2 linked regions of the Drosophila melanogaster genome follow. The gene in region 2 interacts genetically with the main gene of each other region. Each region holds a gene or a part of one and is shown on either strand. Other genes may lie near its edges.

What was found. Genes that interact genetically often act in the same process or in processes that back each other up.
Region 1: of Actbeta (region 2) and tutl, changing one enhances a phenotype caused by changing the other (phenotypic enhancement), as found in Drosophila melanogaster (one study listed by BioGRID).

Annotation. Positions count from the first base shown.
Region 1 is NT_033779.5:4,281,198-4,286,170, reverse strand, and holds the start of tutl (turtle), read right to left. Parts: upstream 3,024-4,973; 5' UTR 2,919-3,023; intron 1,922-2,918; exon of another isoform or gene 1,869-1,921; intron 1,471-1,868; exon of another isoform or gene 1,413-1,470; 5' UTR 1,097-1,412; intron 1-1,096. UniProt on the Drosophila melanogaster protein: Essential protein that plays a role in the establishment of coordinated motor control. In the developing eye, involved in axonal targeting of the R7 photoreceptor.
Region 2 is NC_004353.4:1,078,780-1,086,497, forward strand, and holds the start of Actbeta (Activin-beta), read right to left. Parts: upstream 6,018-7,718; 5' UTR 5,835-6,017; intron 4,495-5,834; 5' UTR 4,348-4,494; coding exon 3,348-4,347; intron 2,429-3,347; coding exon 1,478-2,428; intron 51-1,477; coding exon 1-50. UniProt on the Drosophila melanogaster protein: Controls several aspects of neuronal morphogenesis; essential for optic lobe development, EcR-B1 expression in larval brains, mushroom body remodeling, dorsal neuron morphogenesis and motoneuron axon guidance.

The sequences.
Region 1 (4,973 bases), on a different chromosome or scaffold from region 2:
GTTTATGTTTACACTTATGGCGCGTCGCTTTTGCCTGCATTCGTGTGCGAGCATAGTTATCGCTATCGTTATCGTTATCGCCGCTAAGCGAGGTCGTAACTCGTTTGAATAGGTTACCAAGTGACCTTAGTCGGCAGTCACGCAAGCACCCACTTACAGCCTTTATATATTTACATGTAAATATCTGGCATGCACCAAATGTAATGGTAAATCGATCCACCGATGATTGCTGGCATTTCAGGGACCCGTCGACAGACAGGCCCAAATTTACTCCGTATTTCCTTGGAGTGGGCGTAGTAAGCCCATTTTGTGTGGAGCGAAATGGGCAAACAACTACTTCATTTATCAATATTAAGCATTTGTGGGGCGGGGTGGAAATTCGAATATTCGAATAAATGACTGCCAAGAGGCGAGTGGAGCGATTGAAGCGAAGCGCAAAGCCATGGATCCGTATCCGTATGGTGTGTCCCTCTATGGGAATTGCAATTTCCTGGCCAACGGAACCACTAATAACCCTTTGTCTTTATCATCTGTCCCCGTCTTTGTCGTCATCGGTTACACATGTTTGCTGCTTTGTTATTTCGAACTACAGATGGTCAGATCTAGCCACGCTGGAAGCTCCTCCTAGCAAGATACAAAGCCACAAAACCAATCAAGCCCCTCCATCCGTTTCGAGCCACCGAAACTGCAATCCCCTCTCGAAAACCGATCCCTTCGATTCCCGCCTGGCATTTGCCGTTTGTTTTCTGCTTTCTGGCCCAGTTCAGTTCGGTTCGGTTCGATTGTTTGTTTTTCTGGGCCAGAGTACTTTTTTCTGGCCTTTTGAAAATTTCGTAATTGAATTGGGCCCGTAATGCTCGCAACCGCACTTATTTACACTTGCCGATGTAATTGAAATTTCATAAATTTTAATTAAATTCTTGCCTGCGGACATTGGAGCATTTGATTGTTCTGTTCGATGTGTGTGCAATTGGCGATGTTTTAGTTTTAGTTGCTGCTGTAGCTGTTGTAGCTGCAGTAGTTTTCCCCGAGGATTTCGCTTACATTACAATTTAGAGTATATCGACATTTTGGACCCTAATGGGTGGTGACTCACCTCACTTGCGCAATCATTATACGACGTGCCCAGATCCAATTCTATAGTTGTGTACTGGCCAATTCCAAGAGTCCTGCACTCCTGGAGTCCTACAGTCCGGGAGTCCTCAAGTTGGTGAGTGACCAGGCGAGTTTGATTGCTCAAGTCGTAAAATCCGGGAGTTGTTTGCTGTTCGCCTTTCGTTTTCGGCGTTTACTGGGCGCGTTTTACACTTTGTTTACAGGATAATCGCATACTTTATGACACTTTCCACTTCGAGTACACTGGGCGTATGCGTTTGACGAAGGACTTTGAAACCGTTGACTTTTACGTGGGGCTGCACAAAGGATTTTTATGTTATTCCAATTTGATTGGGGGAAATGGTTGATTGAGTGCTTCAGAACAAAGGCAAAACTCATAAGACATAAGGCGTAAAATGAATGGCGATGCGAGGACTCTGCGTATAAACGCGCCTTTTATGCACAACAAATAAAATCAATACGGCGTAAAATCAAAAATATGAGCATGGGTTGTGGCAATTGTCACCACTGGGTCTGGTCAACAAATAAAGGTCCTTCGGCATTTGTGGATTTCACTGCGGCACACACTCCGAAACACGTGACTCATGGGTCAATGCGGTGGCTACGCCTTATATGTACGCCCTATACGAACTATACGCCTTATATGCATTATATAATTGTCACTTGGCGAGCTGCTTTATTAGCATCCTCCCACTGTTTTTTCCACTTGGTCGGGCCAAAATCACAGGTCGAAACCATAAACTGAAACTCACAGCTGTGCGTCGCCGCCACACCAATTGCCTGGCGTTTTTTGAAAACTCCGACTGACGACGGGCCTGTCGAACAGCTCGCTGGAAAATCGCGACGGCTGCACAGGCCAAAAAGCAGAAACAGAGAGAACCAGTTTTCCAAGGCAGTGGGGAAAAGTGCTCAGCGGGAAAATATGGGGTTTAATTTTTTGGCAATTTTTTGAGCAAGCTATGCTCGAAAAGTTATCAAGCTGGTGCTAAAACATTAGGATAGGAAACTTGTTGTTTTAATATTTTCAACGCTGCCTAACATCATTAGATATTTCCATAAAGGATATTGGTATTGATAAAGTTTTAAAAATAAATATTTAACAGACTCTTTGTTGAAACTTTAAATATTTTTAAAAATTAAAATATTCTTAAGTTTCTATATGCTGGTATGTCTGTTGGAAAAGGTCCTTCTATTTTCCCTTCCAAGCAATCAGCTGATGCGTAACGGCTATCTTGTTGGCCAAAATTCCCCAATAACGGTAACTGCTCACTTGCGCAACTGTCCTGGCCCGAAAAACCCCCCCATTGAGAACTTTGCAGCCAGTACAAGTTTTCAGAAATGTCTCTTATAACTCTCTGTCACTCTCTTTGCGATCCTTTGGGAAACTGGAATTTTTCTTGCAGCGCTGTTTTTCTTGGCTGTTCTGCTGCTTTTTTTTTCTTCCCCATTTTCAAGTTTTGCACCCGCGCGGGTGTGGTCCTGTTTTTCCGATTCTGGCCAAAGGAGCGTGAAAAGCGCCGAAAACGCGAGCGAATTTCCACTTCAGCACAGACACACACACATATGTACGCACACACACGCACAATTGGGAGAGCGTTTTCCCACCCCTTTTCCGGTGGTGATTTGAATTTGTGACGTTCCGCTTGATTGCCGCCCGCTTTTTGCTTTGTTTTTCTTTTATTCACTCATCATTTTCCATCAATTTGCGTATCCATAACTTGAACAATTTTCCTAGTCGCACACAAACACACGCACACACACACAGAGACACTGGGAAAAGGCGAGAGCGAGACAGCACTTACGGCCACTGAACGCTGCGATTGAAATGGGATTTCTGATTGCTTTGGACTCTACGGATTTCGTCCGCGTTCACGTACGCCGTGGTGGAACAACAATTGAGTACTGAATCTGCGTCAGGAGTGCTCGATTTGCCACTCGAAAAAGAGACGGCATTTGCTGCACGAACAGAGAGATTGCGAGAGAGAGAGAGAGCGAGAGAGCGCGCTGCTTCGGCGAGAAAGAGAGAGCCTATACTCTCTTATACTATATGATGCTGGCTAATGCCATATTCCGATTCAGCTTCGGGCCGAGCGAATGTGGCCAGCGAACCTGTCCTAACCCTTTGACATGGCTTTCCGACGACGACGGACCGGACAGCAGAGAACCACGAGAATTCAGGGGAGTGCAGTGCACTCGAAACAAATGCGGTGTAATTCAGGCCAGGAATATGTTTCCAGCAATTGTTCTTGTAGAAATGAGACCTAAGAAAACACCTAATACATTCAGATATTTGCATGATTTCCAAGGCTTGCTTGAATATTTGTTTTAGCGCTGCAGTTACCAAAACTCTTTGGTCAACACTTTACCAATGTTTTTTTTTTTTTGTGTGTGGGAAGCCCTTCTGCGCGGCCGCTCGGCTTCATTGAATAATTATCTCGAGTTTACCTGTTCTCAACTGTCGGCGGGCCCTTCGATGTGACTGTGACCCAAAAACCAGTTTCACCGCCAAACTCCCAACTCGTTTGGCGCTCAGAAAAGGCGAAAAGCGCCTGCGCAGCCCGCTCAAAGTTGAAAGAGTGAAGCCATGTGGAAATGTGTTAAGTGCCAAACACCCAAAACATTTCTGTTTGAGTAGCCAAAGAACCGTAGCGTAGGCCCCTGCCATGGGCCATATAATTGGATAATGCGAGCGAACCCCCCGCTTAAATGGCTTTTTAATTATGCCCAAGAATGTGGTACATCATCAGCGATGATCTATGATTTCTACCTGCATTTGGTGGTCCGTGCAGCCTCGACGGTCCATTCGCATCGTCACTTTTGGCCAGTCATAAAGTTCCCACAACTCAGGGTGAGCCTGACCTACGTTGTAATGCTTCAATTAGCCAACATCTGCTGCCGTGGCCGAGAAAACCCAGTTTCCCCGTGCTCGAGCGACAGAATATTTCCCTTGCAGACCGAGCGAGAGGAAAACTCCGCCACTGGAAGTTGGGAAATCAGTGCGACTGCGCGAAAATCTGCAAAGACAAAATCCTGCTGAGAGACGCCCTCAATATGCTGGCCTCTTTCTCTCTTTTGCTCTCTGAGAATCACCACCCGATTCGGCACCACCCACTCGCAACACCCACTTTTGCCACCCAACAACTTTGGCAAAATGTTTCGTTTTCGCTGAATTTCACTTGGTTCACAGGCCACTCTGGCGAATCCTTCGCAGGACCTCCTTCTGGTGCACTGGCACACACACACACACACACAAGAGAGTACCTACTACATATATGTTGATTTTGGCACTCTGATTTATGCATTATATTAGCGTTGATTTTTAGCTGCAATAAATCTGCACATAATCGGGGGCTACATGCTATAAAGCCATGCATGCCATCCCGTAATCATAATTCACCCGGTCCGTTAATAGGTCCTTCCCCACTCCCCCTCTCCCTAACACACCAACGACGAGCAAACCAAGTCACTAATTTCTGACTTCAGACAGGTGAACGCCTCCCAAAGTGGCTCGTTCGTCTAAGAGTCGACGCTTCACGGCTGTCAAGTGCGATTCCCTGAATGCTTGAGTGTGCTGAAGAGCCAGCCATATGCTGGGCTCAAAGTCGATGCTACCTGAAATCGAACAGCTGTCACACAACAGTCAACTAATTGCCAATTTCATAATCGCCCAAATCTCGATTTGTTTGGGCCGAAAGGCCCAGGAGGTGTCGAGATTATCGTGTATGAGCGAGACAATCCAGGAGCAGTTGCCAACTATTAATGACCGCACGTAGTCAGTGTCCAGTTCTCCAGAGAAACAGCCGCACGTGTTATGGGTGAAAATATGCTTTTGCAAACATTGAGAAAAATGAGTTAGT
Region 2 (7,718 bases):
GCGGTTTTGGGCCGAAAACTCGAGTATTCGATATTGTCGATATTGGGTTCCTTAAAATAAAATATATTATGCCAATGAATAAGAAGACTACACACAGTCATATGAGCGAATTACAAAAAAATATATTGCATTGTTTTTTTTCTTCAAAAACAGATATATTGTAAAGTTTACAATTTTTGTACAGTTAACTAAAAATCAAAGCTTTGTATATAAAATGTACTCTTAAGCGTTTTGTAGGCGTTAGAGATGGCGGATATTGGTAGACATTAAAAAAACCTCAACTACTTCAACTTTAATATAACGTATTTAAATATATTCGTTTTTGTCCATATCGATCGTATCGATGTCAGGGCCTGTAAAATCTAGAAAGTTCAGATAAAAAATTAAAAATTTCAGAGAAGAAGCACTCTCACAAGCTACCACGCTTACACTTTTAAGAAAGCGTTTTTATTTTTAGTCATTATATAATTTGTTTTGCCAATTTCTATCGGTATGCCATACATACCGCCACAAGCCGGTTTCTACTGATTTGCCTAATGTTTTTTGGGCACGATCACTCTTTCTTATTTTTATTACTGTATATTACTATTACTATATATTAATATATATTATAATATAATAATATATAATAGTAACTATAGTATATAGTATAGTATAGTATAGTAAAGTATGTTAAAGGCAGGAAGAATCGTTTCCGACTATATATAGTATATATATTCTTGATCAGGATCAATAGCCGAATCAATCTAGCCATGTCTGTATGGAACGTCTAGATCTCATGAACTATAAAAGCTAGAAGGTTAGAAGCATACTAGCTAGAAGCATACCGATTGTAGACACCTAAACGCATCGCACGTGTGTTGAGCCAACTCCCACAAACCTCCGAAAACTTTTGAAAAAGTTTTGATATTTTCTCATATTTTTAGTCTGTAGTCTTGTACATTTTTTTTTATCGATTTGTCAACAAACTTTTTGCCACGCCCACTCTAACGACCCAAAAAATGCCGCCGACAATTTTTTTTTTTTGACAAATTTGTGGATATTTTTTCATAATTTTATTAGTCTTTTAAAATTTTATGGATTTGCCAAAAAACTGCCACGCCCACACTTTAGAAAATTTTTTTTAGATTTTTCTTTGTTTTATTGTTTGTCTTGCTAATTTCCACCGGTATACCAAAACACTGTGATCACGCACATCCTTTCACCAACAAAACGCCCAAGAGGCTCACTCCCTCACTATTAAAGAATTATACAATTTTTTTCTCATTTTATTTCCCCGTAATATCCAACGATATCCCAGCAAAATTATGAAATTTCGCGTTTGCGTACCCACTAGTTATAACGGGTATAAAATAAAATTTATATTTACTTATTTATAGTAACAGGTATCTGATAGTCGGCGAACTCGACGTCTCTTATTTTTTAATTTGCCCTCGACGATAGCGTTTAATCCTGTGTTGAATAAAAATCTACTCACCCTCTTCAGCAAATGTAATTATTTCCTGCGTATTTCCAAAGAAGTCTTCATGATCAATATTTTCATGATCATCAGCAAAAGATTCGTGATGTCCTTTCTGATTTTCATATTCTATGTTGTGGATCGCTGGCTGATATCCAATGCTAGAGCGACCTTCATGGTACCGGTTTTTATCATGAGTCTGAACACTGTAATCGTTAAAATATTCATAATCATTGTGGCTCATCTCACCATTTTTGCCAGTATGGGTTTTATTATCAATACTATGATTTATATCTATAGGATATGTAGATTTTTTTAAGGCATTCTCATTCATTTGTGTGCCGTTGATGCCATTAACTTTTCTGACCGCTCCGCTTTTAAGCTCCTTAGGACTACTGTTATGGTGGCTCTTTAGTTCTATAGGCATAGATGCAATTTGAGAGTTTATTTTTAATTGACGGTTTTCTGTCCATCCGTTTAAGAATGAGTTTTTTTTATCGATTCGTTCTAAAGAACGATTTCTCAATACTTTCCCATATACATTATTTTTACTTATATTGAAAGTGAAATCGAACGGGGATCGATATTTATGATGACTGGGATCCCGTTCGCTTCTCTGATCGGTCCTTCCACCTCGGCCATTAAACAAATGTGATCCGGGCGAGGCAAACGCCCTCAGCTTGATAGTCTTCTGATCTAAATTCTTACCACTGCTCCCAAATGCATTGTTTGGTATCATTCGTCCACCATCGACTCGATATATTGTTTCCCAAATAAATTGCTTTGGTAAAGGATGAGATACATTAGGCTTGTGGCTAAGACCAAGCTTTGTCAAAATTTGCCGTTTTATTGACTCCAAACGAACTTCATCGCTGGGTGCAATGTTGTTATGGGGTTGATTAGTTTTTTTGTTGAAATTATTGTTGGAATGGTATTTGTTGTAGATGTTGTAGTCTGTGTGTGGATTATCTGTGTGAATGTGATAATTGTAAAGTGTTATGTAAAATTCATTATATAAATTTTTGTTGTTGTATGGAGTGTTTTTATGTTTTTAGTAAAGTTTCATTACCCGATATCACACAAGTTTTATCGTTTTTTAAAAATATTTTTTTGTCTTGCTAGCATTATTATTTTAAGATTTGGATTTATTTTTATGGTTCACAAAAATCTCGAAAAGAAATAAAATCAATAATCAAATCTATTTATAGTTTCTGAAATCCAGCGCCTATGACCTCTACTGTTTTTTTTTGCAATACCGAGTTTGACTAGTATTGTACATATTTACGTCACTGGAGCGACATTTCCTTCGTTTTTACGTTAAGAACAATATATAATTTTTTTATTTTATGACAATAAAATTAGACGAGACAGGAATACCTTTCAAGACTCGTAATGTTTTAATTCAAAAATATGTACGAAATTAATCGTGTAGCAAGCAAATTTTTCCAATCCTTAAGATAAACAAATTGCAATATTAAGATAAAAACTCACCCAGACTATGAAAATTTGTTCTAGATATTTTGTATTTTTTGTTATTTACCCTTTTAAGGGGGTATGAATATCCCAGGCTTACTGCGGGTGGTCCTTGTATTAAATATTATTTACATTACTAGTGGTACAACATTTGTCAATAGATATTTAATTTAATCATTGAAAATGATTTTATTTTACTTAAAAATAGCACAAAAATCTTACAAATTAAATTTATTTTACAAAAAATTCTGCATTGCAATAGTTTTGGTACAGTACGATAACCGCTTATTTCACAACAACTCACATCTGTTTTATCTTAATAACGCCAAACTCAATGTAGTTTTTTTTAGTCTCAATAAGAATATTAAAAGATTACCCTATATTCAGTATGTAAAAAATTTTTTTGAAAACTGACCTTTATCGGTGTATATGTTGGGCTTTCCGCTTTCATGGCACAAGGTGCAGCCCTTGTGACTCTCCAAATTCGAAGCATAATAATTACTACTGCTGATCCCATTGCAATTTATAAGTTTGACTTCAAACCAGACGAGTCCAATTAGAAGCCAAATAAGATTGGCTCTATTGCGTTTAATCTTTGAACAGTTACGCATTGAACCATGAATCGCTGGCCAAGGTGCTTCAATTTCCCTCAAAGGGGACACCAGTAGGCTTCTCTCTGACTGACTAAATAGTTTACCTCCTTGTACTAAGTCATAATTAGTTCCGTAATTTGTCTCCAAAGACTGGCATTTGGCATCGCTAAAATTAAGTCTTTGCTCAAAGCCGCTCATATTATCTTGCATTAGATGATGAAGTCGCTTAGTATATCTGTGCCTGCGTCGTCTGTGATTGCGTCGGCGTCGCCTCCTTCGCTGTCGTTTACGATTGCGACTTTTACAAAGCACTCTACATAAATTGTTGGACTTTACCTGTTGGTCGTTATTTATGTCATACGATGTATACCCATAAAGCAACTTTAGCTTCGTCTCCGAAGTGCTACTGGGAGTTTCATTAGGTGTGGTAGGAACCGAGACGTGCACTGTCCTACTGCTGGCTTGGCTTCTATCTGCAACTCCAGACTGGCCAGGCACGGAAAATATGTCTAGGAGTATGCAGCTTGTCAGGAGTGTCGCTACCGCAGTAACCCACCGAGCCAGCACTAAAATAACCGCCACAAACCTTGATACTCTAAGGACTTCGAGGTCAGCAACTTTTTTACGCATTGCAGCGGGTTGTGGAAATGACTTCCGGGAGCCAAGGCTGTTGCAGCAGTTTAAGTTAAAGCAGCAACAGCACTTTACAACCACAACGCAGCATCCTTGGCGACAGCAGATGCATTGACAATTAAAGAAACACCTGCTGCCTTTGAATGGCGCCCCCGATTGCGAATGATTAGAATCGAAGGCAAATCGCATCTTTGATATATGGCAAGCGTGTAGTACAGGCACTGTCCCTTAGAAACGTGGTACAAGTATTGTCAATTTTATTTTTCTGGTAAATATTTTTTTAATCATTGCAAATCTTTTTCCTTTCCTTTCCTTTCTGTCGTTCATTTCGTCTGCCTGTTCAAAATACAAATTTTCGATTAGATAAGTGGTAAGCTAACTGGAAATTAATATGGACACTAAACAAGAGAGGAGGCTACAAATTGGCAAATAAATTAAAAACACCGGAGAAAGCTATAGTCGACTTCCCCGATGCGAAGTTTCATAATTTTTCAGGGATATTTATAAATATTGTGCAAAAAGATACGAAAAAGTTTTAAATTTGTTTGAAAATGTGGGCGTGACCGTTTCGCTCGTTTTGTGGCCAAAGTGTTTTTTATATACAAAAATTGGTTCCAACAAGGCGGTGCAACAGCACATACTTCAAGAGCATCGATGGCTGTTTTGAGGGAACACTTTCCAGAGCGCCTTATCTCAATTAGAGGCGATTTGGAATGGCCGGCACGATCTGTCCCCTTGTGATTTTTTTCTATTGGGTTTTTTGAAGTCCCGTGTTTATGTGAACCGTCCAAGAGCCCTACAAGATTTGAAAACCAACATCCAAGAAGAAATTGCCATCATAACACCTGCCATGCTAACAAGACTCACGACAAACGCCAGAAATCGGTTTACGCAATGTATGGAGAATGGGGGACGTCACCTATCAGATTTCATCTTCAAAAAATATGACATGTACGTACAATATAAAAAAAAATAAATTTTTTCCGATGCCTACAATAGTTTTCATTGAGTTCTGAAAAAGGAAATTATGCTGCCGCACCCTGTATATACTTTGTATGCTCGGCAATGCTCCCTTCTACATGGTACTTACTTTTTAACGTATATAGTATACCCTTTGATTCTACGAGTAAGGGAATATATATACGGGTATACAAATCTTAAATGATATATTCTCCGAATACTTGTTTACTTGATAATTAACCAGTAATTGAACCAGTTTGCGTTGAAACGGACGGACGGTTACGGCTCTTACTGCTAGCCATACAGATGAACATATATTCTTCGTGTGGTCGTAATTGTCTCCTTTACTGCGTTGCAAGAAACTGACTTAAATCAATATACACTTTGAAAGGGTACAACACATTAAAATTAGTCTAAACCTGACGCCGAGCTTCGGATGGCACAGTTATTATTACGCCAGAAATACTTCATACCATGCACCAACAGAAGCGGACAGACAGACTCATCCGTCCCTTCTGAAGAACTCAAGGCGACACACAGACTGTGTCCAGATGAAAAGACCTACGCCTGAATGGTGGTTACTTAGAAGCCTAGCAGCGGAAAGGGATGAAGAGGAATTAAAAGCATGCGTTCAACAAAAAAATTTGTACATATGTAAGAAGGAAGGTGGTTATGTGTATAGGCTTATGATCAGTGTATGTAACAATATGTATCACCTTTTTCTTTTTAGAAACAATAAATTTTCAACTAAGTAAATATATTTCTTCACGAGAAATATTAGGGACACTATCACATTTTCACGATTTATAAATGTATTATGCTTTTCCTTTTAGCACGGAAACAATATTTTGTATCTCCGTTGGTTGCTAAATGACATTGCATACTTTGTGAAACTAAGATGACACTTTAAGCTTTTCAAAAGCTTTCTTGAAAATAACAATATTTCAGCGTTGCCATATTTGCACCAGAAATATCTGTTGCCATTCAAATTAGAAAGAATATCGATGCTATCGATATATGCTTCCTTTCACGATTAAAAAGTCGGCAGATTCAAATGGATGAATTTCAATAACCTAAATCATTTTTAAATCGTAATCGTAACTAATAAATAAAAATGTTGTTAAGCGTAGATGGAATCGTTTACCCAAAATTCCAAATTAGCAGTCGATCTTGTGTCGATCTATGTGCGCCTAAACATTAACAGATTTATCTGTAAAACTTTACGTCCAATTCAGTTAGATTCAAATCAAGATATAAATATTAATATTATATTCATTTGCTAGTACGAATGCGAACGCAAAATTTCATCATTTTTCTGGGATATCGATATTAGGGGGAAATAAAATGGGAAAAAATTGTTATACCTGTTATTCGTGGTTTGCGGGCTTTATATTGGGCGTTTTTTGGCAAATCGATAGAAATTTACAAGACTAATAAAATTATGAAAAATATCCAATACATTTTCATAAACGTGGGAGTAGCAGTTTTGGTCGATTTTAGCGCTTTGAGTGGTCGTGGCAAAAATGTTTTTTGCAGATCGATAGAAATTTACAAGATTATTAGTCTTGTATGAAAAAGTATGTATGAGAAAATATAAAAACATTTTTCAAAAGTGTGGACGTGGCAGTTTTGTGCAGTTTGTGGGCGTTAGATGAAATTATGAAAAACTATCCACAAATTGTTCAAAAATGTGGGCGTGCCAGTTTTGTGCGCTTTGTGGGCGTTAGAGTGGTCGTGTCAACATCTGTCAACAAACTTGCGCTGCGTCTATGTCGCTTGAATCTGTATGCTGATCTCAAGCTTTTACGTTTACGTACAGTACATGAGATTTCGAGTTCATTCGGAAAGACGGACGGTCGAACAGACGGTCGGACAGACGGTCGGACGGACACACGGATACACGGACATACGGACAAGGCCAGATCGATTCGGCTATTGATCCTGATCACACTTTATATGGTTGGAAACGCTTCCTTCTGGTTGTTACATACTTTCCAAATGTGAAATTCGAGTAAGTATTCTATTATTTTGCTGATTTTAGTTATGCAAATCGATATAAGGAAAAGCCCAGCAGATAATATTTCTTTATCCTTTACTTGTTAACAAAAAAAGGGTAAACCGTACTCTCTGAAGAATATTTAACAGAAAGAACAAAGAGGATGTATACGTAACTTCACCGGAATACCTACAATTATTGGCTACATTTACTTTTTACTTCCTTCGAAACGATTGCATCAAACTAGAAATAGAATACGAATATTTTGTTGTTGGTTGTTTTCATCATATACATACATGTACATAGACATAACAAATAAATAATTTACGTTTTGATACAAGCAAAAGCCTCGTAGGAGTTACTAGAATCTGGACGGATAACTTCAATTTTTTGATATCTATAGTTTTATAGGTTTTGACTTTTATAAAGATGGACCGACGGACAAGGGGACTGACTGGCATGTATCGGTCGTCTACGTTAGTGGCACGGGTTAAAAAACTTTATCCAAGACATTGTTTTAATTGGAAGAGTATATAAACCTTAGTTTGCCGATATCATGTTATTCTGGTTTTATGTGCTATCGACTTGTTAAAGCCCCTTCTGT